Saccharomyces cerevisiae S288C: one gene and its partners. Changing the gene in region 1 together with any one later gene gives a genetic interaction. Each region holds a gene or a part of one and is shown on either strand. Other genes may lie near its edges. The genes, in order: GSF2, RIM21, SNF1 and ERG4.

The links.
Region 2: mutations in GSF2 (region 1) and RIM21 together harm fitness more than expected from each alone (negative genetic interaction), as found in Saccharomyces cerevisiae (3 studies listed by BioGRID).
Region 3: mutations in GSF2 (region 1) and SNF1 together harm fitness more than expected from each alone (negative genetic interaction), as found in Saccharomyces cerevisiae (4 studies listed by BioGRID, with this or other methods).
Region 4: mutations in GSF2 (region 1) and ERG4 together harm fitness more than expected from each alone (negative genetic interaction), as found in Saccharomyces cerevisiae (3 studies listed by BioGRID).

Annotation. Positions count from the first base shown.
Region 1 is NC_001145.3:174,077-181,810, forward strand, and holds GSF2 (Gsf2p), read left to right. Parts: upstream 1-4,349; coding exon 4,350-5,561; downstream 5,562-7,734. Other genes in the region: U2 snRNP complex subunit RSE1, read right to left, coding at 144-4,229; pheromone-regulated K(+) transporter PRM6, read right to left, coding at 5,941-6,999; PRP39 (Prp39p), read left to right, coding at 7,398-7,734. UniProt on the Saccharomyces cerevisiae protein: May be involved in the secretion of hexose transporters from the endoplasmic reticulum. Involved in secretion of GAL2 and HXT1.
Region 2 is NC_001146.8:78,159-81,946, reverse strand, and holds RIM21 (Rim21p), read left to right. Parts: upstream 1-1,686; coding exon 1,687-3,288; downstream 3,289-3,788. Other genes in the region: Rab GTPase-activating protein MSB3, read right to left, coding at 1-1,307; MRX6 (Mrx6p), read right to left, coding at 3,427-3,788. UniProt on the Saccharomyces cerevisiae protein: Required for the proteolytic cleavage of the transcription factor RIM101 in response to alkaline ambient pH. Required for growth at alkaline pH.
Region 3 is NC_001136.10:1,408,428-1,416,746, forward strand, and holds SNF1 (AMP-activated serine/threonine-protein kinase catalytic subunit SNF1), read left to right. Parts: upstream 1-3,945; coding exon 3,946-5,847; downstream 5,848-8,319. Other genes in the region: JIP4 (Jip4p), read right to left, coding at 1-1,667; YDR476C (uncharacterized protein), read right to left, coding at 2,026-2,700; SNM1 (Snm1p), read left to right, coding at 6,148-6,744; PEX29 (Pex29p), read right to left, coding at 6,783-8,319. UniProt on the Saccharomyces cerevisiae protein: Serine/threonine protein kinase essential for release from glucose repression.
Region 4 is NC_001139.9:467,292-475,094, reverse strand, and holds ERG4 (delta(24(24(1)))-sterol reductase), read right to left. Parts: upstream 2,241-7,803; coding exon 819-2,240; downstream 1-818. Other genes in the region: SCL1 (proteasome core particle subunit alpha 1), read left to right, coding at 1-606; drug-responsive transcription factor PDR1, read left to right, coding at 2,797-6,003; PUF4 (Puf4p), read right to left, coding at 6,288-7,803. UniProt on the Saccharomyces cerevisiae protein: C-24(28) sterol reductase; part of the third module of ergosterol biosynthesis pathway that includes the late steps of the pathway. ERG4 Catalyzes the last step of ergosterol biosynthesis by converting ergosta-5,7,22,24(28)-tetraen-3beta-ol into ergosterol.

The DNA of each region.
Region 1 (7,734 bases):
CGGTTTCCTTTTAAAACAGAAATAAAGATGAGGTGAAATTTTATATTTCTTATATTTAAAGCTATCATATATTCCTTGTACATATATTTATTAAGAAAATACATTAACACGCCTTTATACTTGGTATTATTACTGTAAAATCATTACATGTAATTTGTTCTGACTTCGTTGATTGTTTGAATTATATCCTCCACTTGTACACTCTTTAAATTTTTGGCCAAAAATTCCTGCTCATTCAAGGAAAGTCTCAGGAAATTTTCACATAAATCACCATCAATAACTTTACGTACAGGGGCATAATAGCTTCTGTATTCTTGGTGGTCTCTACCTAAAATGGAACAGGAACCCTCACATATTATTTCATCCTCTATACCATGCCGTCCTTGTAACACAACACTTCCAGATTCCTCTTCATCGTCTTCCTTACGCATATTGTTATTCTTCTTTCTTGATTCATAATCTAAATAAAACGTATCATCCGCCTCAGCCATTATATTCTCAATGTTTCCCATCATAAAAACATTCCCCTTGGATAATAAGGGGATAAAGCATCCCACGGTTCCTTGTAAGCCCATATAGATACAACCAGGTCTATCAGAATTTGAAAGGCTGTCCAGGATATGGAAATCAGTGATGATATCATTAACAAAGAAGTGGTTCAGTAGTTGAAACTTGAACTTGCAATCATAAGTATTGGGTAATTTCTGCTGTAAAGTGATGACGTCTAGTGGGTACTTGATGGCCCCATTAGATAATTCGCTGGGATCATGATTTGACATGATTTTTTCGCACTCTGGTGGAGACCTTAAAGTCCACGCATTTCCATATCTATCAGCGCCTATAACAGTTGCCTCATCTAGAAATTTCAATACCGTCACATGGCGTTTTACAGAGTCATCTACGTACGGAATAAATACATTCCCCGCAGGATCCCAGATAAATAAAGTGACAGATTCATGTATATCACCAACGGCCAGTCTTTCATAATTCCACTGGTGCATAGACACAATTTTTGTTATGGATACCGGGGTCTGTGTTACGGACCTTCTTAATAATTGCTTTTTCCCCAAACCATAAAGGACAATAGTGGAGCCCATGGCTGTCAGCAAGAAGTTTTTAAACTTCAACATAGCATGTATTGGTGAAATGATTTCTGTTTGGTGAAGTAATTCAATATCAAAAGATAGTTTATCTTTGTTAACTAATATCTTGTATGTTAACAGCCTTTTGTCGCCAGCACAAATGATCAAATGATCAGCTTGTCTTGTGAAATCTATTATAGCAGCGGAAACGCAATCGATATCGTCCAGTATCTTGTATAAATGATCCGAACTGCCAAACTTTAAGCATTCACCATCAATTTGCAGTGATATACGGCATTGTTTCTTACCACTGTGATTATCAATAAACAAAATGCTTTTCGGATTATTGGGAAATGATAAAATAGTACGAGGTCGGAATGTAGATATTTGTAACATTTCCATTTCTTCTTCCATTTCATCTTCTTCCTCTTCATTGCTTTCATCTCCTCCACCGTTCTCTTGCTTGTTAACACTTGATTCATGAACGTGAAACCAGTTATCCAAAGTTGGAAAGTTGGAAACTCTGCCAATATTTAAGCGTCCTGAGCTCGATATTGAACAAACACCGTTGATTGCAACATCTGCGTTAACAAATTTGGAACAACTTAGCATGTTTTGATCCTTTAACTGCCGTATGGTCCACACATTTTTCCACGTGTAGCTTACCCATGTAGAAGAGGAATGGCAAACCACGCATGACATCCATTTAGCTCCACTACTATTTATTTCTTCTTCTTCTTTTTCATCATCATCGTCTTCTTCTTCTTCTTCTTCTTCCTCATTATTTAGTGATACAGATATCTCACGCAAATACGAAAGGGAAACAGGCTTCAAGCCAAGGAATCGCCTTTTTATGTCAGTGAACGATCCGTCAACATCCCCTATATGAAATTTCATGTAAACGCCATTTTCTAAACCTACATGCAAATTAAGCTGTCCTATTGAGGAATCTCTAACCATTATCATGTCAGAAATCTTTTCACTAACTAATTGCAAACTTATTACAGTTAAAAAATCTTCCTTTTGGTCTTTAAGAGACATTATTTTGATCATACCCTCATTGTCAGCAATGGCTAATAAATCAGCATGCTGCGTATCTTGCACAATCGCAACTTTAGAGGGCATTGTGTCCAATTCTGGGTGGGTGGTTAATTCGATTAACGAATCCGAAGATACATCTATCTTGAAATAAACCAATTCGTAATTTGATAATGATATAATTAGTTGTGTTTTCGAGGACGTGGCACATACAATACGAATTCCCGCTGGTGGCACCCAAGTCAGCTTATTAGAATACCTAGATTTACCAGTCGGTACGATATGTCTTAGTTCTGCGGTGCATACTTGGATAATAGAGTGTGAGCCCATTAGGCATGTATGAATTGTTGTGTCCTGAGAGAGCTTGAAAGCTGAACGCGTTGCTTCATCCGGTGTTAGTTCCTCCATGGACTCGTTGTCAATTTGTAGTATCATAGTTTTCTTGGGAAAAGTTATGAACAAAAGAGTATTGTTATCGCCGGTTGTTGCAGGATCGGGTATTAGCCATAACTTGGTTGCGTTCGGGGGTAAACTAGTAGATATCAAATTAGAGTAATTCACAGCATTTGTTAAAGTTATTATCTTGTTGTTTGTAAAATGTTTAGTGGCGATAGACAGTGGCGAATCACTGACAATTTGAGATTTTATTGAAGGGTTCAAATTCAATTGTTGCGATAATATGCTCAAATTCTGCAACTTTATGGATGGTTCGAAAACTAGCGACTTATTTGGATCTTTTGAGGTTAAAACATTAGAAAAATCATTTTTCTCTACACCAAGTTTCTCAAACTGGAAAAGAAAGTTGTTATTCATTTCAGATAGTGCAAAAAGATAACCGTTTTTGAAAATGTGTAATTGGTGTGAATTTTGGATTGTATCAAAGTAGGACAATTGAACTAAAGGTCTATTTCTATCATTAGTGTCTGGACTTACAGTTAACTTAAAAAGATCGCCATGGTTAGATTGTAAAAGTACGAAAAAATCATTTTTCAATTTCTGCACTATGCCTGATATGATTGTTACATTTTTATGACGGCTATTTGTGATAGATCTTTTGGGTATTTCCACTTTCAGGCTGAAAAATCCGTTCATATCCTTTACCAGAATATGATTTTCGAAGCCTATGACAACAAAAGGGTTGAAAAGGGTATCATAGTCAGCATCATAGTTGTTGTCGCTTAGCGAAGTTGTTATATTATATCGCGATAGATCTGGCAAACTCAGTACGAAATTGGCAGATGGGTTAACTAAATAATCTGCCTTCTTGACGATGTGATTCAAACCCAACTCGAGGACATAAAATATCAAGTGTACTGATAGTTGAGTAGCGGCATTGTCGATTTCTAAGGTAACAAAACATGGATTATTGAAATTTACATCAACAACTGCCATATCCAGCGTTACCATATGGGGTCTGATGATTTCCAATGGAGACGAAATCCTCAATTTTTGAGCATAATCAACGAGGAAACACAATTTATTTTGTTCGACAGATGAGAGAATGATACAACGCCCATTAGGGTCAATTTCCATGTATGATATGGGAGAGACTCTTCGAAGGGTGGTCCTCGTCAATGGCTGGTTCACTAAAGTCTTAAGTCTAAGAGCACCTGCATGCATAATGATTTGCACGATACTTAGGTTACCAGAATCGGAAGTTAGCGCTAGAAAAGTGGGCCAGTTGGAAGCTTTTGCCCTTGACCCTGAATGCGGCAGATCCAGCGACTTCATCGAGGTTATCGTCGCAAACAGGTTTTGAAACTTGGCAATAAGCTTTAGTTCCCCATCTGCAGTATCATAAAGTTCTAAATGCGTCTCAGTAGCTACGCACAATTGCGACTGCTCACGCTTGGACCCTGCTTCCAGATCGACGAAGTGTCCGATGCAGGAGTGCACGAAATTCGTCTGTTTCTTTAAAGTAAGATGGTACAAGTATAGCTCATCATCTTTAGCAACCATTGTTATGTTATGGTCACTCCTTGTTCTTCTTTCAGCCTCTCGTTTTAAACCGTCATAAGCCATCGTTGTGCTAGCTTGCCCAAATAGTTTACGCATCTTCGCCGTGTGGGGCGACAAGCTTACTACTGCCATTTTGCCACCTCCCCACATTTAATGATGGAAAATATTATAAAAAAGCGAGAAAAGAAGCTAATGGTGCCATTGTTTTCCTTTTTAGAGAGGGGCAGCAGAGATCGGTGGACTTTGTTTTGATAGAGGGCGATTGCAAGCATGGAGATTTACATTAGACTTAACGCAGATGTCGAGCACGACTATGCGTTTCAGGTGTCAAATGAAGACACCATAAATAACAAAATTAAGAAGATTTTCCCTTCCAAGACGGGTTTGGCGGACTTAATGGTGCTGAGACCATCAATTTTCCATGAGAAGGAGCCCGTAAAGTTCTATAAGTCTATCCATCCAGGGTACCTGTCCGAAGGTGGTTGTTTGATGTTCCATTATGAAGCTGATAACGAAGAAAATCTCGAGGAGTTGAATGACTCCAAGCCGCTTATTGACCAGTTGTGGCCTGGTCAGCTAGTTGTTCCGGAGTGGAAGCTATCCAAGAAAAACATATGGGTATACACCATTATTATGTTGGCCTGGCTATATACCGATTTGCCCGACGCCATTTCTCCAACCCCAGGTATTTGTTTGACTAATCAATTGTCTAGACTATTGATTCCTGTAGCCAAGCACATGGATTTACCTGAAATTGCCGCTAAACTCGAACAAGAAGTTCAGGCAAACTATTCTAGTCTCGTAGCTCAATGGCTTTTCTTTGTCATGCACATTTTCAAAGTGGGCATAATTACTTTATTCCTCAAATTAGGCATTGCCAACCCCATCAGCTTCAATCCTTACAAGTTATGGAGTTTGAGAGATTTAACTTCTCCTTCTGCTAACGGCGCTAAGAATTCTGGCGGCAATAACAACACTACTGACTTAAAGACACGTTTGCGCTCTCTGGGCTGGATTGGTGCTAAGAGAGCTACTTACGACGATTACCAGACTAACTATTACAACTATGTCATAGATAAGATGGGTGGTGCAGTTGCTGCTTATAGAGCGGGCGCGATTAGGAAAGCTGCAGCACCAGGTATCCAACTTGTGGCTGGAGAGGGTTTCCAAAGTCCTCTAGAAGATAGGTTCACTGCTTCCACTTTCACGGCTATTAAAACCGAACGGAAATTCATTTTAAGTGAAGAATACTTTGTGGAGCTGGAAAACAATCTAAAGAAGATCTTGGAAGAGTATGACGGGGATATTGGTAAGATGAATGCTGAAATTAGGAGGTTTAGAAGGTTTGGTATTTATGAACCAGATGAAAAACTGGCCTCGCTAGTTAAGCTCAGAAGAGAAATTGCTGATGAGAAAGAGAAAGCATCAAACAATGATGCTACTTTTGGTATAAAAAAGAATGATTTGAAAAAATCTAATTAATTGTAAAACCAAAACACTACCATCCAGACTTTTTTTTTATTCAACCATAGCCTTTAACTACTACTACTACTACTAGTACTACTACTATTACTATTACTATTACTACTACTAGAGGGCCTTTTTTTACTCCTAGTATTTTTGTACTATCCTATTTACTCTCGTTGTTTTTATTAGTTTTTTCACTCTTTTTTTCAATTCCTCACGAATCTACTGTTTTCGTAGTGCTTTTTTTTGTTTCATTGTTTATAGCCATCAATGGTTTTTGTTACTATCATTATCATTATAAATATTTCATACAATATATACAATATATATACAATAAATGAGAATCGATTTACTTTTAATGCATTTTTGCAGTCAAAAAAAGCTTCGTTTACATTTATATGTATTTATGTTTGTATTTCTGGGGGAAATATGCCTTTATGGGCGTATATACTCTTTCGTACGTTTCTACATCCGAGTAGCAGTAGTAACTCGGTATTGTGCTTTCGTCGCCATAATCAGGACTATCATAATCGAATTTTTTTTGCGTTTTGTTGTCACCACATATGGTCCCTTCTTCCTCATCATCTATCAATATTCCCAATTCGTAGACAGTTCTACTTAAATTCTCGTCAATGACTTTAGACACATACTTTCGTAGTTTCAATTCATACCCCTTAACCTTCCTTTTACTAGACAAAAATCTCGGACGTATAAAAATGATGAATATTATTATGCTTAGAATTAATTTGCTTATTAAAATTACCCATATGATAAACGAGAACAACATGAAGGACAAGATCACACTTTCTTCGTAATTTGTCTTAGCAATATGTTTTATCTTGTTTATTATTCCATTTAGGTCATCTAAATTACCTAGGCTTTGAGTACTATGGGTTCCGCTACTGGTCTCATTCGAAACTGTCAGTAAAACTGACCACAAAGTTAATCCGTTGATTATTTGCCTTGGAGAGTCACCGAACAATAGCCTCAAACATCCACTGATTTCAAAATATGAAAAGAATAACCACTTACTGAATTTTTTCTCATCAGTCAGCACTATTAGTTCGAAAATTTGATACTTTTTGAAATTGAACAAGCAATTTATTAATCTGCTAATGCCATTCATGTAGTTCGATGTAATCTCTTTCTTCCTATACACTCTCAATCCAATTACCAACTCCCAAATTAATATTAATGAGGAGCATAATATGCATCCGCTAAACAACCATTTTGAAATACGGAATTCCAAGAATGGTTGGATGATATTGTTCGACCATGTGTTAAATGCCAGTAATTTAATACACGTGTATATATCAGAAAAAAACATGGCCACATGTAGTATCGACTGACACCAGGTGTATAGAATATACTGTAATTTTGTGGTCCACTTCGCAGTAGGAATAAGATTTATGTCAATATCCTGGAATTTCAATTTTTGTAAACTTGATTCCATTATTTAGCGCTTTGTTGTCATTTTCCTTTCCCTCTTAGACAATGTGGTAAAAAATGCCAGCTCCAGGGCTTTCAATTAATCCATTATTGATTTTTAATCTGGAGGTTTGAGCATGGCTGAATAATTTATATACAAATATCTTTTTTTATTGTTTCAGATCATTCGTTTTCAGTATGATTTACTATCATTCATTTTCTTTTTCTTTACCATTTTACGTCGCCGTCGCACATCTTAAAACAAATTTAATACAGAGTTGAAAGTTTCAGACTTAAACAGAATTTACGCAAGAAAGTTTTCAAAGTCCTAAAGTAAAAACGCGCCTTCCACAGCCATTTCTTTGTTCAACAAAAAGTTTTGGCCCTTACTGCTATTGGATACTTGGCAATCCGTCTTTCGTTATGCCAGATGAAACAAATTTTACAATAGAAGATATTGAGCCTAGGCCTGATGCCCTTCGAGGTTTGGACACCCAGTTCCTTCAAGACAACACAGCATTAGTACAAGCATATCGTGGTTTAGACTGGTCAGATATTTCTTCGTTGACCCAAATGGTAGATGTTATAGAGCAAACAGTGGTTAAATATGGCAATCCAAATGATTCAATCAAATTGGCCTTGGAAACTATTTTATGGCAAATATTGCGTAAGTACCCTTTATTGTTTGGATTTTGGAAGAGGTTTGCTACTATTGAGTACCAGTTATTTGGTCTCAAGAAATCGATTGCTGTTCTGGCCA
Region 2 (3,788 bases), on another chromosome or scaffold:
AAGCAACTCATGAACCAGCTCGCCGTGCACAAAGTAATGGGCGGAAGTCTGTACAAGAACTCATTCTTTTGCATATTGAATAAAACTTTTTTATTTGACGGAGAAAAAGTTTTGTTATTTTTTTGGTGGTGGTCAATGGAAGGCTTAATGTACGACCAAACTTCTGGAATATATTCTTTGACACATAGCATCAGTACCCCTTGGTCGATGTTAACACCTTCTAGATTGATATTATGCACCCCCGGTAGGTATCTTGAAGTAATAATCACTAGCATCCAAAAGGCCCTTTCCTCGTCTAAAAATAACAATAGCAAGCCTGCAAGAAAGTTCATAGATTGACAATAGCCAATCTTCGGATTGTAGAGAGAGAACGCAACAAGCACCCGGCGTAAAGATTTTATAATCGGAGGTCCCTCTTTGTTATGCAAGCTACTTTGGAAATGTATATTGTCCGGAAATGTTCTATTCAAGTCACGTTCAATAATATCCAAGTCTTGAACTTGTTTTTCATTAGGGTTTTGTTTCTTGATCTGCTTCATCTTTCGTAAAAGTTGTGAATAGACGCCTTTATTCTTGTTTAACTTCTCTTGCCCTCTAGCGAAATGCCACCATGCATTTCCTCTCCATTCCGCTGGAATGCCCTTTCTGACATACCTTTTTAACCGTTCACTCTTTGATGGAAATCGTGAAGGAGAATCATCGGTCACTGGCAACCCACTTTTCTCCAACAGCAATTGCCATTTGTGCTTACGGCGAACGCAGTACTGCGAATATTCTACCCACCACTTATCGTATTCTGCTTCAGATATGTAATTATTCTGTTTTTTGAAACCGTATCGATCAAAATGGGTATTGTTGATTCCATTGGAATTCGCACTTGTGGCACTAGCGGCACCCTCCAATTCTACACGCTGACGGTTGTCATCATCAGGAACCAAATCGAGGTCATCACTGTGCACTTCCTCCAGATCTTCGTTACCATTATCGCCATTATTATCATCATCATCCTCTCCTTCGGCACGTTGGGATTCCACTTCGTCTCCATACAGGTCAATAACGCTTAAATTCCCATCATGTTCAGAGGGGGATGCTTGGCCCAAACAACTTGGTTCCACAGAGCGATGATCATTCGCTCTAAAGCTTCCGTTCACCAGAGCTGAGTCGCTAGAACTATGATCTGAATGCATTTTATCATGAAAGTTAGGAACAGACGGTGATTTCACCGTAAATGCCCCTCCTAGCCTTTTGTATGGATGCGCCAGTACCGTCCTATTTTGCAGGGAGAACCTCTGTTGATCGTTCTGCATGCTAATTACAATGGTTCTGGGTGCGCAACTCTTTGACTCCTACAAAGCTTCTAGATGTCCCTTTAGCTATTTTTAGCTACTTTCTTTCTACGTGACATAAACGAGGTTTGATCCTGTTAATTCTGATACTGCCCGAACAGAAAAATAGCAGCTATTGAAAGAGAAGATGGAACCCGTTGTATCGGCGAGTAAAGATAAGTACTTTAGAAGAGCAACCCACATCGTTTAGTTACAAGAAAGACAAAAGACTGGTACTACAGATTCGGTGTCCTTTACCTGTTTTCTTCTTTCCTGTGCGCACTTAATCAGTCATTTTAGACTATCGTTTTTAGTAGCACATAAGGAGGAAGACACTCGATGAATAGTCGATTCTGCAAACATGAACTTGTGGAGACATAGTCCAGAAGAATTGGCTGCTTACAATAGCTGTCATCCAATGAAGCTAGGTTCAGGGGTGCTGATACAATTGCCTCTTTATGACAATTCGGCAGTATATGCAGAAGATATTACTTTTAGGAGTTTCTGCTGTGAAAGAGTGCCCGTTTATGTATCTACGGTGCTAAGAAACTCTTCCCCATATAGGTATCTTGATGAGGTGATCAATGACTGGCAAAAATTCATTCAAGTAAGCGATTATGTCGGCGGTTCTGCTGAGTATGCGATTTATGCTGTGATTTTGTCGATAACTTCTAATTTTGTCATCACAGTGTTCCTGACTGTGATATGCTGTATAAATATCAGCGGGCGCGCATATAAGAGAATTCTACAACTACTGAGGATAGCCTCGTTGTTAGCCTCGTTGAACTTAACGATTTTTATCACGAAGGTGTTGCGGAGATTGGAAAAAGAGCACAATGTCTATGGTGTCGTTCGGGCTCATTCCATTATGCACATCTTTTCCGATGATATGACATTTGTTGTCTTGGATTTCTTGGCTACTTTAATGTTCCAATTTTGCCAAGTCGGCATTGTCATTAGGCTATTTCAAAGAGCTCAGGAAAAGAGAATAATTTTTTTTATTGGGGTGATATTAACAATAACCGCAAATATTTTATGGGTAATTCCACCGTTTGCTAACCATACTACAAAACACAGAAATGACTGGCAGATTCTGCGGCCATTTGTTTACCTTTTCCGTATTGCCATCGCCACGTCATATGCATCAATCGTCATTTATCACATCTGGCAGAAAAAAAAATTGTGGTTTAAATTCAATCAAATGGGTTTACTTACGCTATTGACTATTCTTGTGGTGCTTCTATTACCGGGTTTCTTCCTTGCCGATGTGTCGAACTTATGGATATCGGAACTGGGTGAAGTGTTTAACACGACATGCTATGTCACTTCGACCGTGATCACATGGGAGTGGCTGGATAGATTAAATGTTTTGGAAAGAAAAGAGGAAGCGCAAAGCATTTTGGGAAGACCTATCTTCGAGGAAGAGCAACAAGACTATCGGTTTGCCAAGTACGCCTTAAGGGTTCAAAACGCTTTAACCAGGAGGGAATCTCAGGACGCATCAACGGATCGGCACGATACGTCAAGTAATTCGGAAGTATGTGATTTACAGACCATATCACGCTACGACCCAGAAGATCAGATATCAGTGGGCAGAAGCATTGATCGAATGCATTTCAATGATAGGGGAACTTATAAAGATGTAGCGCTGAAGAAATTAGGCTATGCGCGTGATAAAATTTTATACTTTACAGACCAAATCGTCCAGAAAAGCGTAGGCCACAATAATAGCAGCAGCTCGAAAAATGAAAAAACCAAACAGAGAAAGGCCATGGTCAGGAAACGGTTGGGATTAGACAAACCAGGCATATACATTTATTCGACAAAGGATGTCGTTTTCAATTCAGATGAAGATGACGATGAGAACGCGGAAGATGAAGATGACGATGAATATGAAGTTGGCAGTGAAGGCAATAACAATAGCTCTGCCACTTTTACCAGCGACCATATAGGCCATATTTGAAGGACACAGCAGAAACAGTATTACAACAAACCTACATATTTATATATTCCATGCATGCTCAAGATGCATATGCATAATATTTACACGAATTGCGAATATGTCACATAATAGAGCAGTGGATAAGTACTCAATGCAAAATCACTCATAGTAGTCCCATTCTTCAAATGCAGTTTCCAATAATTGTGTATTCAAATTAGTGGGATACCTCGTATACCTCACGCCGCTCCTAGTAACAACATACTTGTCATTGAAGCTGACTTGAACGTCCTTATGTATAGTCCTCCCCCAAAAGGTATTGTGCCTCTTGGTGTATCTTAACCAATGCATTCTCTTGAAATTATGAATCGGACTTGGTTGAATAATACAATCTACGCCATCTTGGAAAAAATATGTGGATGGTACTTCATCTGATAACCGCACTATGATTTTTTCAATATACGCCTTGATTTTGTTTTCAAATTTCTTAGAGTCTCTGGAATTTGTTAAAGTTGACAATATCG
Region 3 (8,319 bases), on another chromosome or scaffold:
AGCTCATCATCAGATGCTTCCTCTCGGCTACTATTGTTAGCACCATTAGCTTCTGGGGCATAACATAGTGAATCTATAGAATAATCGTTATCTTGCTTCCGTTTGATATTTGAGATAGTTGGAATGCTAGCATCTGCTGATTTAGAATGGCTGAACCCAGGCTTTGGACCGCTAGTATTTTTTTGTTTCGTTACCTCCGGTTCTTTAAACTCTTTTTGCAAATCTATTTCCAAATCGAACATTCTCTTTGCCGGTACAATAAACGTTGGAATCGGAAAATTAGTACACAGTTTATCTGTCAGAAAGTTCGATTTCCAACGAACTAAGCTGTCTGTTCTCTCCCACCTCAAAGTGCTAGATACAAAGAAATCAGGTAAATAGATGTTTATTGCCTCAAGAAGCGTTTTTTTAGTCTTGCCAATTAGGATCTCGACAGTGACCTTGACAGAACGATCTTGCGGAATTATGAGTGTAACATAATCAAAAAGATCTTGCAATTTACGTTCTATTTCGTTCTGCGTATAACCAGATGTCCACTCGATAAAATTTTGGTGCTTTAATTTGTTGTCAGATTCCTCAGGCCCCAGAGAAAGTGCCCTTCTTGTACATATGGATCGTGATCTCGATCTGGATCGTGATCTTCTTGCTGAGCTAACACTCCTGCTATCATCCATCATCATTAGCATTCTTTTTCGCTCACTCATCGAATCATTGTCTTCGAAATTATTCTTAGTCAGGCGGGGCAGGTTTGCCAACACAACAATGTGGTCTGTATTTTGAATCAAAGTTCGTAGCGCCCAATCTAGTGCTACCCAAGTATGTTTCCTGCCGCTGATGTGGCACAATATCGTTCGAGGAGTGTTCGGGAACCCAACCTTTTCGCTCAAAACACGCTCTTTCCGCTTTTGAGACTTAGTCAAAGGCGTAAAGCCGTCTTCTATGGGAGGATTGAATTTTATTGTGGGAGTAGCGCCCTCAGACGACTTTTTTTTGTTTGGAGGAAACAGTATTGTTGGGTAATTGAAGAAATCGCGCTTTTGTTCTAATCGATGATCTATCTGATTTTTCTTCTTGATCCATAGTTGTCTCCAATTGGCATACGCCCTACTAATCACAAGAGCGTCATTGATATCGGTGGGTGTAGTAGGATAGTCTTCCCTTACAATTTTACCATTTTCAGAAATCTTAAACATCTTACCTATTTTGATGTTTCTTTTAGAGGCAGGAGGTGGAGAAGAATACCTGCCGGGACTAGCACTGCCCTCTCGCCTACTCGAATAGCTATTCCCGGAGAAGTAGTCGGCATTGTTGTCCGAGGTAAAGCCACTTTCGTCGTCATAATATTCCTCCATTGTATAATCTGCAGAGATCTGCACGCCAGGAAATTCTCTTTTCTCTTCATCTAAGGGCGAAGATACCCTTGATCTGGGAACTGTGTTGAAAGATACGCATGGTAGGTACTTTTCGTTGCTGCCTTTCCCCTTCTTTTTGACGGAACTGCTCGAGTCCAATATCGAGGCTAGACTGCGCCTGTCATCATTGTTGGACTTGTCCTCGTCCTGCTTAGCGAGTATGTCCACCGTATCCTCCAGCTGGTCCTGCCTGACATACAGCTTAACATATTTATAAGAATTTCTCAACGCCTCATCTTGATCTCGTACCACCATTTCCCCCTATGTTTTAGTATCTTCTGTTCCTTGTACTTTAAAGATTCCTTCCCTTAAAAATAGAAGAAAGCTTCTATTTGTTGATATTGCTTTCGAATAGTGAGTGGACTCAAGAGAAGAAAAAAACCTTTACAAAAATTATATGCAAAATATGTTGGAAAAGACAAAAGGGTTTTAAGTTGTGTTTACTAAAAAGTATATAGATAATTCTAGAGGTTATTGAGACATGCAGAATGCGTGTGCCACACCACCGCAGGTGGGTCATTCGGAAATTGTTCCTGTTGCTGCAGCGTCTGCTGCACTTTTCGCTAGAACTTTTCCAGTCGGATAGGGAGACAAAATGAAAAAAGGCCTCGGACTAATTAACTGACCCTTCGCCAAGAGTGCGAGCCTTAGTATCTAGACGTCTCGCAGGACCGTAACCTTCGAGGAGACCTAGAAGAAGCCACTCGGGCACGAACTCGCCAGGAACACGGTAGTACTTGAGCCTAGGGACGACGAAAATGAGCGTCTCGAGGGCGTGAGTCAGGAACTCGGCAACAATGATGAGTCGCAGCACAAGATCACTATCCAGCCACGCCTCTAAGGTGGAGCCCACAGGATTAGGGACCAGGAAAAAGATAGCGTGCAGTGCAGGACGATAGAGGTAGCACAATGGCGGTAGCGCCACGCCTACCAGGATCAACAAGTCTACTAGAGTGCAGGGGTACTCAACAGTGTCGATCTGGATGAGCGACAGCTTCCTCTTCTCCGCAGCGATGCGGAACATCTTGTTGAAGATTTGCTTGATTCCGGTAGCAGTGCGGGTATCGTTGCCCGTGTCATTGTCAATGAAGTAGATAATCTTCTCGATGTTCTGACCCGTTTCTGTGTGAAGGAACTTGAGCGTAAACGTGGACGTCTGCGTGTCGATCTCTGTCAGTCTGACATGCTTGACGGCCTTGGTAATGGGAACGTGGCCAAAAACGGCGAGACAATCCTCCAGCCCCAACTTGTGCGTATCGTTGATGCTTACAATTAACGAATCCCACATACTTGTGTATACCCGTATACTTGCTTGAGTTGATAGAACGCACGCTCTCGCCGATATAAGCCTCCACTCTTTATATATACCATATCCAAATAGGTGTGCACTTTGTGGCAAGGAGTAATTATAAACGAACAGAATATCCCGACCACATGGCAAGACCAAGAAAGTTCAAGACTGCGCAAGAAACGGCAGAACAGAAGCTGCTCACTAACTTCAACCTTGTAACTGAATTCGTAGGGTTAAAACTCCACCACGTTTGTAGCGGAGCAATGTCGCCTTTAAGAAGTCGCTAGCTATCTCTTTCGCCTCCGTATAGCAATCATTGTCTAATGCAATCCGCCATCGTTATGTCCGCGGCTTTTGTCTGGAGGGCAAATCACGATAGGAAGAGGCATCTTCTGTAGTAAAGGCGTCTGTAGTAAAACCTTTTCTTGGAAGCCATAACAAATCATGGCCACCAATGCCTGGCAAAAAAGGGTGGCATTGAAGGGAAATTTCAAAGATTTTTTTAATAGAGGCCCTAGGAAAAAACATGTCCGTACGTTTAGATACGGTTATAAACTGTACAATCATTTGCTATCAAATGCTGAACCTTCCCCAAGGGACTAAAAGCTGGAAATGGCAGTGTGCTACTATTTCTTTTAGTCGTATATTTAACTCTCGATCTTGCAGGCTATGATGTCCCATATGATGTCCCACATGACGCAAGTAACTTCAAAAAAAGAGGAATTGCGTGGCGGCGTGGATGCAAAAGGATGGGCGTGATGATGGGACTCGAGACCTGGTTTTACTCAATGTTAGTCATATGTATATAGTCCTTATAGGCCCATATTAGAAAGTACATGTCATAGTTACCCTCTGCAGTTTTTCTCGTAGCGGAAGGGGATGGAAATTTTTAACGTAAAAGAAAGTTGGTAAGAGTATGGCACATCAACAGGTAGCGTTATAGGGGCCAAGACATAGCTTTGGGCTTAGTACTGTAGGCTTGTTACCAGAACTTTCATTTATCGAAATATTCTTTTTTCACATTTCCTCTTACTGCGCATTCGTGTCCAAACAGTCATTCAGGAAGTATAACGATAAACAATAGATTGAAGCCTGAAAAAAAAAAAAAAAGCACGACAATAGAAATTGTTTCAGTGTCATTGGCTTTTGATAATATATAGAGGCTGTTTCAATAATCATAGCGAAAGAAATAGAAGTTTTTTTTTGTAACAAGTTTTGCTACACTCCCTTAATAAAGTCAACATGAGCAGTAACAACAACACAAACACAGCACCTGCCAATGCAAATTCTAGCCACCACCACCACCATCACCACCATCACCACCACCATCACGGTCATGGCGGAAGCAACTCGACGCTAAACAATCCCAAGTCGTCCTTAGCGGATGGTGCACATATCGGGAACTACCAAATCGTCAAAACGCTGGGAGAGGGGTCCTTTGGTAAAGTTAAATTGGCATATCATACCACTACGGGCCAAAAAGTTGCTCTAAAAATCATTAATAAGAAGGTTTTGGCAAAGAGTGATATGCAGGGCAGAATTGAAAGAGAAATATCTTATCTGAGACTCTTAAGACACCCCCACATCATCAAACTGTATGATGTTATCAAATCCAAAGATGAAATCATTATGGTTATAGAGTACGCCGGGAACGAATTGTTTGACTATATTGTTCAGAGAGACAAAATGAGCGAGCAAGAGGCAAGAAGATTTTTCCAGCAGATCATCAGTGCCGTCGAGTACTGCCATAGGCACAAAATTGTCCATAGAGATCTGAAGCCTGAAAACTTACTACTAGATGAGCATCTGAATGTAAAGATTGCCGATTTTGGTTTGTCAAACATCATGACTGATGGTAATTTCTTAAAGACTTCTTGTGGTTCTCCCAATTATGCGGCTCCTGAAGTTATCAGCGGTAAGCTGTACGCAGGCCCAGAAGTGGACGTGTGGTCATGTGGGGTTATCCTTTATGTTATGCTTTGTCGTCGTCTACCGTTTGACGATGAAAGCATCCCAGTGCTTTTCAAGAATATCAGCAACGGTGTTTACACCTTGCCTAAATTTTTATCTCCTGGAGCTGCTGGGCTAATCAAAAGAATGTTAATCGTTAATCCATTGAACAGAATAAGCATTCATGAAATTATGCAAGACGATTGGTTCAAAGTTGACCTGCCAGAATATCTACTTCCACCAGATTTGAAACCACACCCAGAAGAAGAGAATGAAAATAATGACTCAAAAAAGGATGGCAGCAGCCCAGATAACGATGAAATTGATGACAACCTTGTCAATATTTTATCATCGACCATGGGTTACGAAAAAGACGAGATTTATGAGTCCTTAGAATCATCAGAAGACACTCCTGCATTCAACGAAATTAGGGACGCGTACATGTTGATTAAGGAGAATAAATCTTTGATCAAGGATATGAAGGCAAACAAAAGCGTCAGTGATGAACTGGATACCTTTCTGTCCCAGTCACCTCCAACTTTTCAACAACAAAGCAAATCCCATCAAAAGAGTCAAGTAGATCATGAAACTGCCAAGCAACACGCAAGAAGGATGGCAAGTGCTATCACTCAACAAAGGACATATCACCAATCACCCTTCATGGATCAGTATAAAGAAGAAGACTCTACAGTTTCCATTTTGCCTACATCTTTACCTCAGATCCACAGAGCTAATATGTTAGCACAAGGTTCGCCAGCTGCCTCTAAAATATCTCCTCTTGTAACGAAAAAATCTAAAACGAGATGGCATTTTGGTATACGATCTCGCTCATATCCATTAGACGTTATGGGTGAAATTTATATTGCCTTGAAGAATTTGGGTGCCGAATGGGCCAAGCCATCTGAAGAGGATTTATGGACTATCAAATTAAGGTGGAAATATGATATTGGAAACAAGACAAACACTAATGAAAAAATACCTGATTTAATGAAAATGGTAATTCAATTATTTCAAATTGAAACCAATAATTATTTGGTGGATTTCAAATTTGACGGCTGGGAAAGTAGTTATGGAGATGATACTACTGTTTCTAATATTTCTGAAGATGAAATGAGTACTTTTTCAGCCTACCCATTTTTACATTTAACAACAAAACTAATTATGGAATTAGCCGTTAACAGTCAAAGCAATTGATGGTGGAACGTAAAAGAATGATATGGAAGTTCCCTTTTTTTTATGTATCGTAACGTATTTGCAACATCTTTATAATATCCCTTTGTATAAAGTAAACAATCTTGATTAAATAAACCTGAACATAATTTATTGATGTGAATGTTCTTTTATTGGCATTATTTCTTCGGATGAAAAGCAAATTTCACGCTCTATGAGAAAAATTGAAAACGCTATTCTATGTGAAAATAGAGATGAGTACTACTAGTGGCTACAATAAAAATACTGAACCTTTGACAATCGTACAACAAAAGGATCCCAAAAATGAATAAAGACCAGGCAGAAAAATATCAAGAACGGAGTCTGCGACAAAAATACAACCTACTACATGTACTGCCAACACTGAATTCCAGAGCGTTATCGGGACTATACTATAAAAATTTTCATAATTCTGTGAAGCGATATCAAATCATGCTGCCAGAACAACTGAAAAGTGGGAAATTTTGCTCCCATTGCGGGTGTGTTTACGTTCCTAATTTTAACGCAAGTCTTCAGTTAACGACTAATACCGAGCAAGGTGACTCCGACGAACTTGGCGGCGAGAGTATGGAAGGACCAAAAAAATGTATCCAGGTTAATTGCTTGAATTGTGAAAAGTCTAAATTGTTTGAGTGGAAATCTGAGTTCGTTGTTCCAACATTTGGACAAGATGTTAGTCCGATGATCAATAGTACCAGCAGCGGGAAGGTTTCGTACGCGGTAAAGAAGCCCCAAAAGAGTAAAACTAGTACTGGTAAGGAGAGATCCAAGAAGAGAAAGTTGAACTCACTTACAAACCTTTTATCGAAAAGAAATCAAGAGAAAAAAATGGAAAAGAAGAAAAGTTCGTCACTGTCATTAGAAAGTTTTATGAAAAGTTGACTGTATCATCAGTGAACATATAGTATAACAAATCAAGTTTATATAGTTGAATTGAGAGTGTCTGTTAGCTCTTCGATTGACGGATAAGATGCATCCGCGTCGATATTGTTGAGATTAGGAATAGTACCGTTTATACTTTCCTCATCAGCGCGGTCATCATCACTACTGTGAGTTAGACCGCCACTCATTGAACCCTTCGTCACGCCATGTACGCCTTGCCTATATGTTTCTTCCCTCAATGGATTAACTACTTCCTCCTCACCAAGGTTTGAAGAAATACCAGAATCCAGTTTTTTCCGCACGCAACTGTTGGTCCACATTCGCCTTCTATATGAGCCCCTTTGTCCATCAAGATTGAGGTCATAGACCCATTTTGTTTCTGAATCTATCTCGACATACTGAATAAATTCGTCCTCTACCCATTCTTTTGGATCCAAATCAAGCACCCAATGAGAATTGGCTTCCCATTCCCAATCCTTAGGTGGCTCAATTTCTTCTAATGACTTCACTGAATTTTCCTCAATACGCCTCTGGTATATTCTCAAACTAGAGAAAAGAGAATAATCGTCATCAGAGAATCCAACTGGGCGCCATTCTTTGTATTCAGGAAGATACTTTTGGATCTCAAAGATCATAACAAGTCGGTGCTCCCTAGCCTCAATGAGTTTCAAATGCTGCAAAATCTTAGATTCCAGATTAGTACTTATAGTCAAAGTTTTTAATCTTGTCTCCTCCGAATTCAATTTAGTCAACAAATATTCACGATTGGACGGATGCGAGGCAATAAAAAAACCCCAACCTAGCAGTATCAGTACGGGTCTCATTGGAATGAGCTTGATAAATTTATCCATGTACAGAAAATTTAATGTTGCTATTATTAACAATACAATAAAATAAAACGACGAAATAGCCTCGTTGGTGAAGAATGCAAACTTTTGTAATATGAGTAAAGTAAAATCGTAGAATTTAACATATAGCAGCATATGGTTTTGTAAATCCGTGAGGTTTAAGACAAATTCTTGGCTCAGTTCAGGGACTGGTTTAGGAACCTCAGGTCTTCGCAAAGGTGGGCCTTGTGCTGGTGTTTGATTATTATCTAGATAGCTTGTAGGGTTTGGCTTATGAATGTAAAGGTATTGCGGGACCATTACGCAGAATAACAAATAGAATATAGGGAGCGAAGAAAGCATTTGAAAAGGTTTCAATATAATGAGCGTGTATAAGAACATGATAGATACTGTATACGCTGGGTTAGTCCAGTTTAATATCTTTATTAATTCATCCATAATCATGAATGGTACCCCTAGTCTCGAGTTCATCTGTATAAAATTCCTACTCGTGATCTGCACAGACAGCTTAGGCCTTTCTTTACCAGCAACCATACGATGGTGAATTGTATCAACAGCCGTTTTGGAAGATGGTGGTAATGCCATTTTGATTATCTTCTCTACCAGGGTATCTGCCATCATCTTTTGGATGTTTGATGTCGAGGGAAAACCGCCACCACTAGTTGGCTGTCCACTGGAAGATGGCAGACTACCACGTGTAGGATCACTAGTTCTAGAACCACTAGAT
Region 4 (7,803 bases), on another chromosome or scaffold:
GTGGTGATAAGTCAGAAAAAGGTCCCTGATAAACTGTTGGATCCAACTACTGTTTCGTATATTTTTTGTATTTCAAGAACAATTGGTATGGTAGTGAACGGACCAATACCGGATGCAAGAAATGCGGCCCTAAGAGCCAAGGCTGAGGCTGCAGAATTCCGTTATAAATATGGTTATGATATGCCATGCGATGTATTGGCTAAGAGAATGGCTAACCTTTCCCAAATCTATACTCAAAGAGCATATATGAGACCATTAGGTGTTATACTCACATTTGTTTCGGTAGATGAAGAATTGGGTCCCTCCATTTACAAAACTGACCCTGCAGGTTATTACGTTGGCTACAAAGCTACTGCGACAGGACCAAAACAACAGGAGATCACAACAAACTTAGAAAACCATTTCAAAAAGAGTAAAATCGACCATATTAATGAAGAATCATGGGAGAAGGTGGTAGAATTTGCTATTACTCATATGATTGACGCACTGGGTACCGAATTTTCAAAGAATGACTTGGAAGTCGGTGTCGCTACAAAGGACAAATTCTTTACCTTGAGTGCTGAGAACATCGAAGAAAGGCTAGTAGCAATTGCTGAACAAGATTAACATACTTCCTGCCACAACATAATGTGAAATCACACGCGTCAACACTCAATATATGTATGGACACGTTTCATTTAGGATTTATTTTATAGGAAAAAGTAGATCAAGTAATAGAAAATCGAATCTTTTCAAGCCCTTTTGTCGCGTAAATACATCAATACTTTTATATACAAACTGTAAAATAAGTTAATGAAGTGGATAGAAAAAGAAAATAACTAGAAAACATAAGGAATAAAGACGTAAGGGCAATGTTTACAATACTCATCCCAATCTTTTCCGTACTTTCTCTTACATTTTGCTTGGTCTCTGAAGGCTCTGTGAATCAGGACAACAAGGAAGAATACTGGGAAAAACCATGGGAACACCGAGTTGAACCCGCAAGACAAGGCCCAAACGAGAGATTGAGTCCAATCGGCAGTGTAGTGAATTTTTCTAGCCAAAGTGTACCAACCATCAATCAATAGGTACGATCCATTGGAGGTAACCATATACTTTGGATTCTTCAAAATTTGGTATGGCAAAAATGGGAAAGTCTTCCTACCTGTCTTGTCACCAGACATTTGCTTTCTGAAGGCATTTTTCTGAGCATTTGCCGTGTCAAAGAAGTAGTAGGCGCATAATAGAACAACGTACAGCGAAACATTGTACAGTGTAGACCAGTGATATTCAGATGGGTCATGGTAGTACAAATACAACGTACAATGACAGTAAGTGTATGGGACACCGGCAATATTCCAGAAGATCAGCATAAATCCAAACTTTTCGTAAGCCATGTCCCAGGTTGGAACAATCAATTCTTCACCTTTAGCACATGCGTTCGCGTACAACCAATGAGCTAACATGACAACCCCCAATTGTGGTGTCACATAGCCGTAAGTCTCCCACTGCTTCAAACAGGCACCCAAAGTGATAAAGTAAAGGGTGAACCAAGGTAATCTAACCTCGAAAAACATCTTCAAGTCCAAAATCCCCCACCTAGGGTTTAGTGGAGCTCCCATGAAGAAATCATATAGATGGTTTCCTGTCATTCTATGATAGTCATGTGAGATAAATAAAGTCCATAAGTACAATATGATGGAGAAGGCAAACCCTGAAATAATGGCACATGTCATGATCCTCCCAAAACGGTCAATAATGACATACAATCTAAAAAGATTGGTAAAGTGCAAAACCAAGACCAAAGTGGTAGTTACATACAAGGTCCACATGGCATTACAAAAGTAAGGCAATTGTTTTCCCTTCAAATGAGACAATGGTTGACCTTTTGTCCAAATCCCGGGCAACGTATAGTAGAAAATGATCTGAAACACCCAAAATGTTAAGAAAATAGTCCAGTCATACTTTTCTGGGATACCGTTCTCCAAGACTAACTGGTATAGGTGCTTGATAAAGTGCATCCACGATTCACCAGCCTTGGGTAGGGCAACCTTACCGTGATAAAATTCCGCACAAATCCACATATAGTACATTAGCAGTGGAAACCCGATCAGCATACCAATAACACCAGTAGTCCCACCAAACTCATATTCGATTTCATTTGGCTTCAGCCATTTACCCTGAGGCAGGAAATTAACCGGTTGCTTGGACTTTTTCTCCTCTCCCTGCACCTGCAGCTTCTCACTATTATCCTTTGCCATAGCGATGCTAATCTATGTACACTACGTAAATATCCGTATCTGCCTATCTACATAACTGAACTACATTCCTACGTTATTACCACTGTTTGGTAATTTTTCCTCGAGGATATATAATTCTGCTTTTCCATAGTAACGCCAAACGATCGCGTAATACCGGCAATTACGGGATGCACGAAAATAGCGCCAAGGAACGAAAAAGAAATGAGTCTCGTTTAGTTATTAAACGAGAAGAAACGAGCCCTGATTTACATTCTCAGGGTCCAATAGGGCTTTGTTGGAAACAGACGCATACCCTAAATGGAGTTTCTTTTCTTGTTCAAGACCTAATGAGTGGCAATAAGAGGCGCTAATTAAAGCTCTTCAAAACAACCTTATTCGCCTATTACACATGATCAGCCACTCTTTCATTGTCAACAATAGCATGATAGCAGGACCATAGCGGCCATATAGACATTACCAGGAGTGAGTTTTGGCTAAAAAAAGACAATTTGCACATCACTTGCTAACTATTCATCTCAGCCAAGAATATACAGAAAAGAATCCAAGAAACTGGAAGATGCGAGGCTTGACACCTAAGAACGGTGTACATATTGAGACGGGTCCGGATACAGAATCGTCCGCGGACTCCAGCAACTTTTCTACAGGTTTCAGCGGCAAGATTCGTAAGCCAAGGTCGAAAGTAAGTAAAGCGTGCGATAACTGTAGAAAAAGAAAGATAAAATGTAATGGGAAGTTTCCCTGCGCAAGCTGTGAGATATATTCATGTGAGTGCACGTTCAGCACTAGACAAGGTGGCGCTCGAATAAAAAACCTTCACAAGACGAGTTTGGAAGGTACAACCGTACAAGTCAAAGAGGAAACAGATTCCAGTTCGACTTCTTTTTCTAATCCTCAGCGATGTACAGACGGGCCATGCGCAGTGGAACAACCAACGAAATTTTTTGAGAATTTCAAGCTAGGTGGTCGTAGTAGTGGTGATAATAGCGGAAGTGATGGGAAGAATGACGACGATGTGAATAGAAACGGTTTTTATGAAGACGATAGCGAATCACAGGCAACTTTGACATCTCTACAAACCACTCTGAAAAATTTGAAGGAGATGGCTCATTTAGGTACACATGTAACCTCAGCCATCGAGAGCATTGAACTTCAGATAAGTGACTTGCTTAAGCGATGGGAACCCAAAGTGAGGACCAAAGAATTAGCAACAACGAAATTTTACCCTAATAAATCAATAGAAACTCAATTGATGAAAAACAAATACTGTGATGTGGTACATTTGACAAGATATGCCGCTTGGTCAAACAATAAGAAGGACCAAGATACTTCTAGTCAACCTTTGATCGACGAAATCTTTGGTTTGTACTCTCCTTTCCAATTTTTGTCACTTCAAGGTATTGGTAAATGTTTCCAAAATTATAGATCCAAATCCAAATGCGAGATTTTTCCCAGGACCGCCAAGGAAACCATATACATCATGTTAAGGTTTTTCGACGTTTGTTTTCATCACATCAACCAAGGCTGTGTCTCCATAGCTAATCCCCTGGAAAACTACCTACAGAAAATGAATCTTTTACCTTCAACCCCATCTTCGATATCATCTGCAGGGAGCCCGAATACAGCACACACAAAATCGCATGTTGCGTTAGTGATAAATCACTTACCGCAGCCCTTTGTGAGAAATATAACCGGAATAAGTAATTCTGAGCTACTAAGCGAAATGAATAATGATATCAGCATGTTTGGCATTTTATTGAAGATGTTGGATATGCATAAAAATTCCTACCAGAACTTCCTAATGGAAATCACATCTAACCCCTCCGTGGCTAAAAACACGCAGTCAATTGATGTCTTGCAGGAATTCATCCATTATTGTCAAGCTGGAGAGGCGCTAATCGCCTTATGTTACAGCTATTATAATTCTACATTATACAACTACGTGGACTTCACATGCGACATAACGCATTTAGAGCAACTTCTATACTTTTTGGATCTGCTATTTTGGCTATCGGAAATATACGGTTTTGAAAAAGTCTTGAACGTAGCAGTTCATTTTGTTTCAAGAGTTGGTTTATCAAGGTGGGAATTTTACGTGGGTCTTGATGAAAACTTTGCTGAAAGAAGAAGAAATCTCTGGTGGAAAGCTTTCTATTTCGAGAAAACTTTAGCCTCTAAACTTGGCTATCCTTCGAACATTGATGACTCCAAAATCAATTGTTTATTACCTAAGAATTTTCGAGATGTTGGGTTCTTGGATAATAGAGATTTTATCGAGAACGTCCACTTAGTTCGCAGGAGCGAAGCTTTTGACAACATGTGCATATCCGACTTAAAATACTATGGCGAATTAGCTGTCTTACAAATAGTCAGCCATTTCTCATCATCTGTTTTATTCAATGAAAAATTCACGTCAATTAGGAATACATCAAAACCATCTGTTGTTAGAGAGAAACTACTCTTCGAGGTACTCGAGATTTTTAACGAAACAGAAATGAAATATGATGCTATCAAAGAGCAAACTGGAAAATTGTTCGATATTGCATTCTCTAAAGATAGTACTGAACTCAAAGTTTCAAGAGAGGATAAGATTATGGCTTCAAAATTTGTTCTATTTTACGAGCACCATTTCTGCAGAATGGTTAACGAATCTGATAATATTGTCGCCAGATTATGCGTGCACAGAAGGCCCTCAATACTAATTGAAAACTTGAAAATATACCTTCACAAGATTTACAAATCATGGACCGATATGAACAAAATCTTATTAGACTTTGACAACGATTATTCCGTATACCGTTCGTTCGCCCATTATTCTATCAGTTGCATTATTTTGGTATCACAAGCATTCTCAGTGGCCGAATTCATTAAAGTAAATGACGTTGTGAATATGATTAGAGTCTTCAAAAGATTTTTGGATATAAAAATTTTTTCCGAAAATGAGACCAATGAGCATGTCTTCAACAGCCAAAGCTTTAAAGACTATACAAGAGCTTTTTCTTTCCTGACAATCGTCACTCGTATCATGCTTTTGGCATACGGAGAGTCCTCTAGCACCAACCTCGATGTTATCTCCAAATATATTGATGAGAATGCGCCAGATTTAAAAGGTATAATAGAACTTGTCTTGGATACAAACTCTTGCGCTTATCGATTTTTATTAGAACCTGTTCAGAAGTCAGGATTCCATTTAACGGTCTCACAAATGTTGAAAAATAGAAAGTTTCAGGAACCACTAATGTCAAATGAAGATAATAAGCAGATGAAGCATAATTCGGGAAAAAATTTGAATCCGGATCTCCCAAGTCTTAAGACGGGCACTTCATGCTTACTAAATGGCATTGAATCGCCTCAATTGCCATTCAATGGTCGCTCAGCACCTTCCCCAGTGAGAAACAACTCACTACCGGAGTTTGCACAATTGCCTTCATTTAGGTCATTATCCGTGTCTGATATGATCAATCCCGATTACGCGCAACCAACAAATGGGCAAAATAATACGCAAGTCCAATCTAATAAACCAATCAATGCTCAGCAGCAAATACCCACTTCAGTACAAGTACCATTTATGAACACAAATGAAATCAATAACAACAACAACAACAACAACAACAATAAAAACAATATTAACAATATTAACAACAACAACAGTAACAATTTTTCTGCAACTAGTTTTAATTTGGGGACACTAGATGAATTTGTTAATAACGGTGATCTTGAGGACCTCTACAGTATCCTGTGGAGCGACGTTTATCCAGATAGTTAAACGTATACGTTTGTATAGATAAAAGTTCTCAAAAACTTCCTTCCTTTTTTTTTTCTTTTGAGTTTACTTATTTAAATAAGAACATTCTGTTTTCTAGGGCATCTCCTTCTCTTATTTCTTCAACACTATTTACCAGTATACCATAAAGTGAAAATTCCTATTTTTTTTGCTTTGGATATTCATTTGATCCTCAACGAAAAAAAAAATGATGTATTTTAGTATTGTACAAAAGATATTATATGAGGCTAACGTAAAAAAAGCTAAACTGAGGATATATGTATCAACTATGAATCTAAATGTAACATTCCGATGATTCTTTTACCATGAGGTGTATTTCTTATGGGGCCCACCAGTAAAGGCGCCACAATCTCTGATAGTCTTTTATAGAGATAGTCATTTTGCTTATGAGAAATGTCTAATGCTGTCTGTAAAACGTAATTTCCGTAGCTATCATTCAACAATGATTGAATACCCGTCTCGCCACCATTATTTAAAATTTCCAGAATCATTGGCTCCGAAACAATAGCTGTCTTCAAGATTTTTTCAATCACATTTGATCCAAATTTATGGATAGAAAGTTCGATGGCTCTTGGTTTCAACAGGTGGACAATTTTATGCGTATAATCATATTTGTTCTTCTCAGCCTCTTTGGTAATTATATATTGCACCACATAGTTGCCAAATGGATCCAAAGTTAATTTATCAACAAGGGCTAGCAACTTATCACACAGATTGTCACATTGTTCTGTAGTCCCATGATCTAGACAACGTTGCAAAACGCAACACCCGTGTCTATGAGTAGCAATATCAATACAGCTATCAGAGATTGCGTCAAAGATAAACTGGAAGTTTTCAGGCTTCAACCTTTGCAAACATTTTTGAATAACATGATTACCATTTAAATCCTTACTCAACTGGACAGTATAAGGGCGTAAAGAATCAACAACAATCTGTGCTTCTTCATCTGTTTTGATGCATTCAATGAGTTTTTGTAATGCCCTAGTACCATGAGGGTTTAAGGAAATTTCGACAAAATGAGGGGAAGATATTTTTGTGAGTACGATTCTTTGTTCTGTGGTAACCTCTTCCAATAGCTTCTGGATCAAATAATTACCGAATGAATCAGTCATCAATTCAACCGTATAATCCTTAGTTTCTTCAAAAATTGCGTCCGCCGCCTTACTGCCGAGAATATCCAACTGCTTTTGCAGAAAACGACAACCATGTTGGTCTTTACACAATGAGTGAATACTTCCGATATATTGGTCTAAAACTGCGTCCGCAAATCTCGACGACTCCTCAATTTTACGTTGTTTTTCCGCGCTGTTGCTGTTGGTAGCATTACTGTTATTATTATTATTGTTATTATTATTATTATTATTATTGTTATTATAGTAGCCATGATAACTGTTTTTCATATTTTTCATTTTACCAACGTTAGAACGACCTGTGTCTTTATTGTTGTAATTAGAATTACCAATGTTGTCATTGTCATTATGACTTGACATGCTATTGTTATTACGACCATGATGTTTATTATTGGCGCTATTCATTAACGGCATATGATTTTGAGCCAACAAATGAGGCGGAACCATTGCGTTGAAGGGAGGTGGAGTGCTATAAAGCCAGGGAGGAGGGGGGGTGTTTTGCTGGGGAGGTAATATGTGGAAAGGTTGCATTGATGGCCCAAGATTAGGATTTATTAAATCCATCCTAACATTTGGACCCGCCTTGTCGTTATCGGTGGTGGGCTTACCACCATCATTCTTCATATCTGAAAAGGCAACAGAATTTGAACTA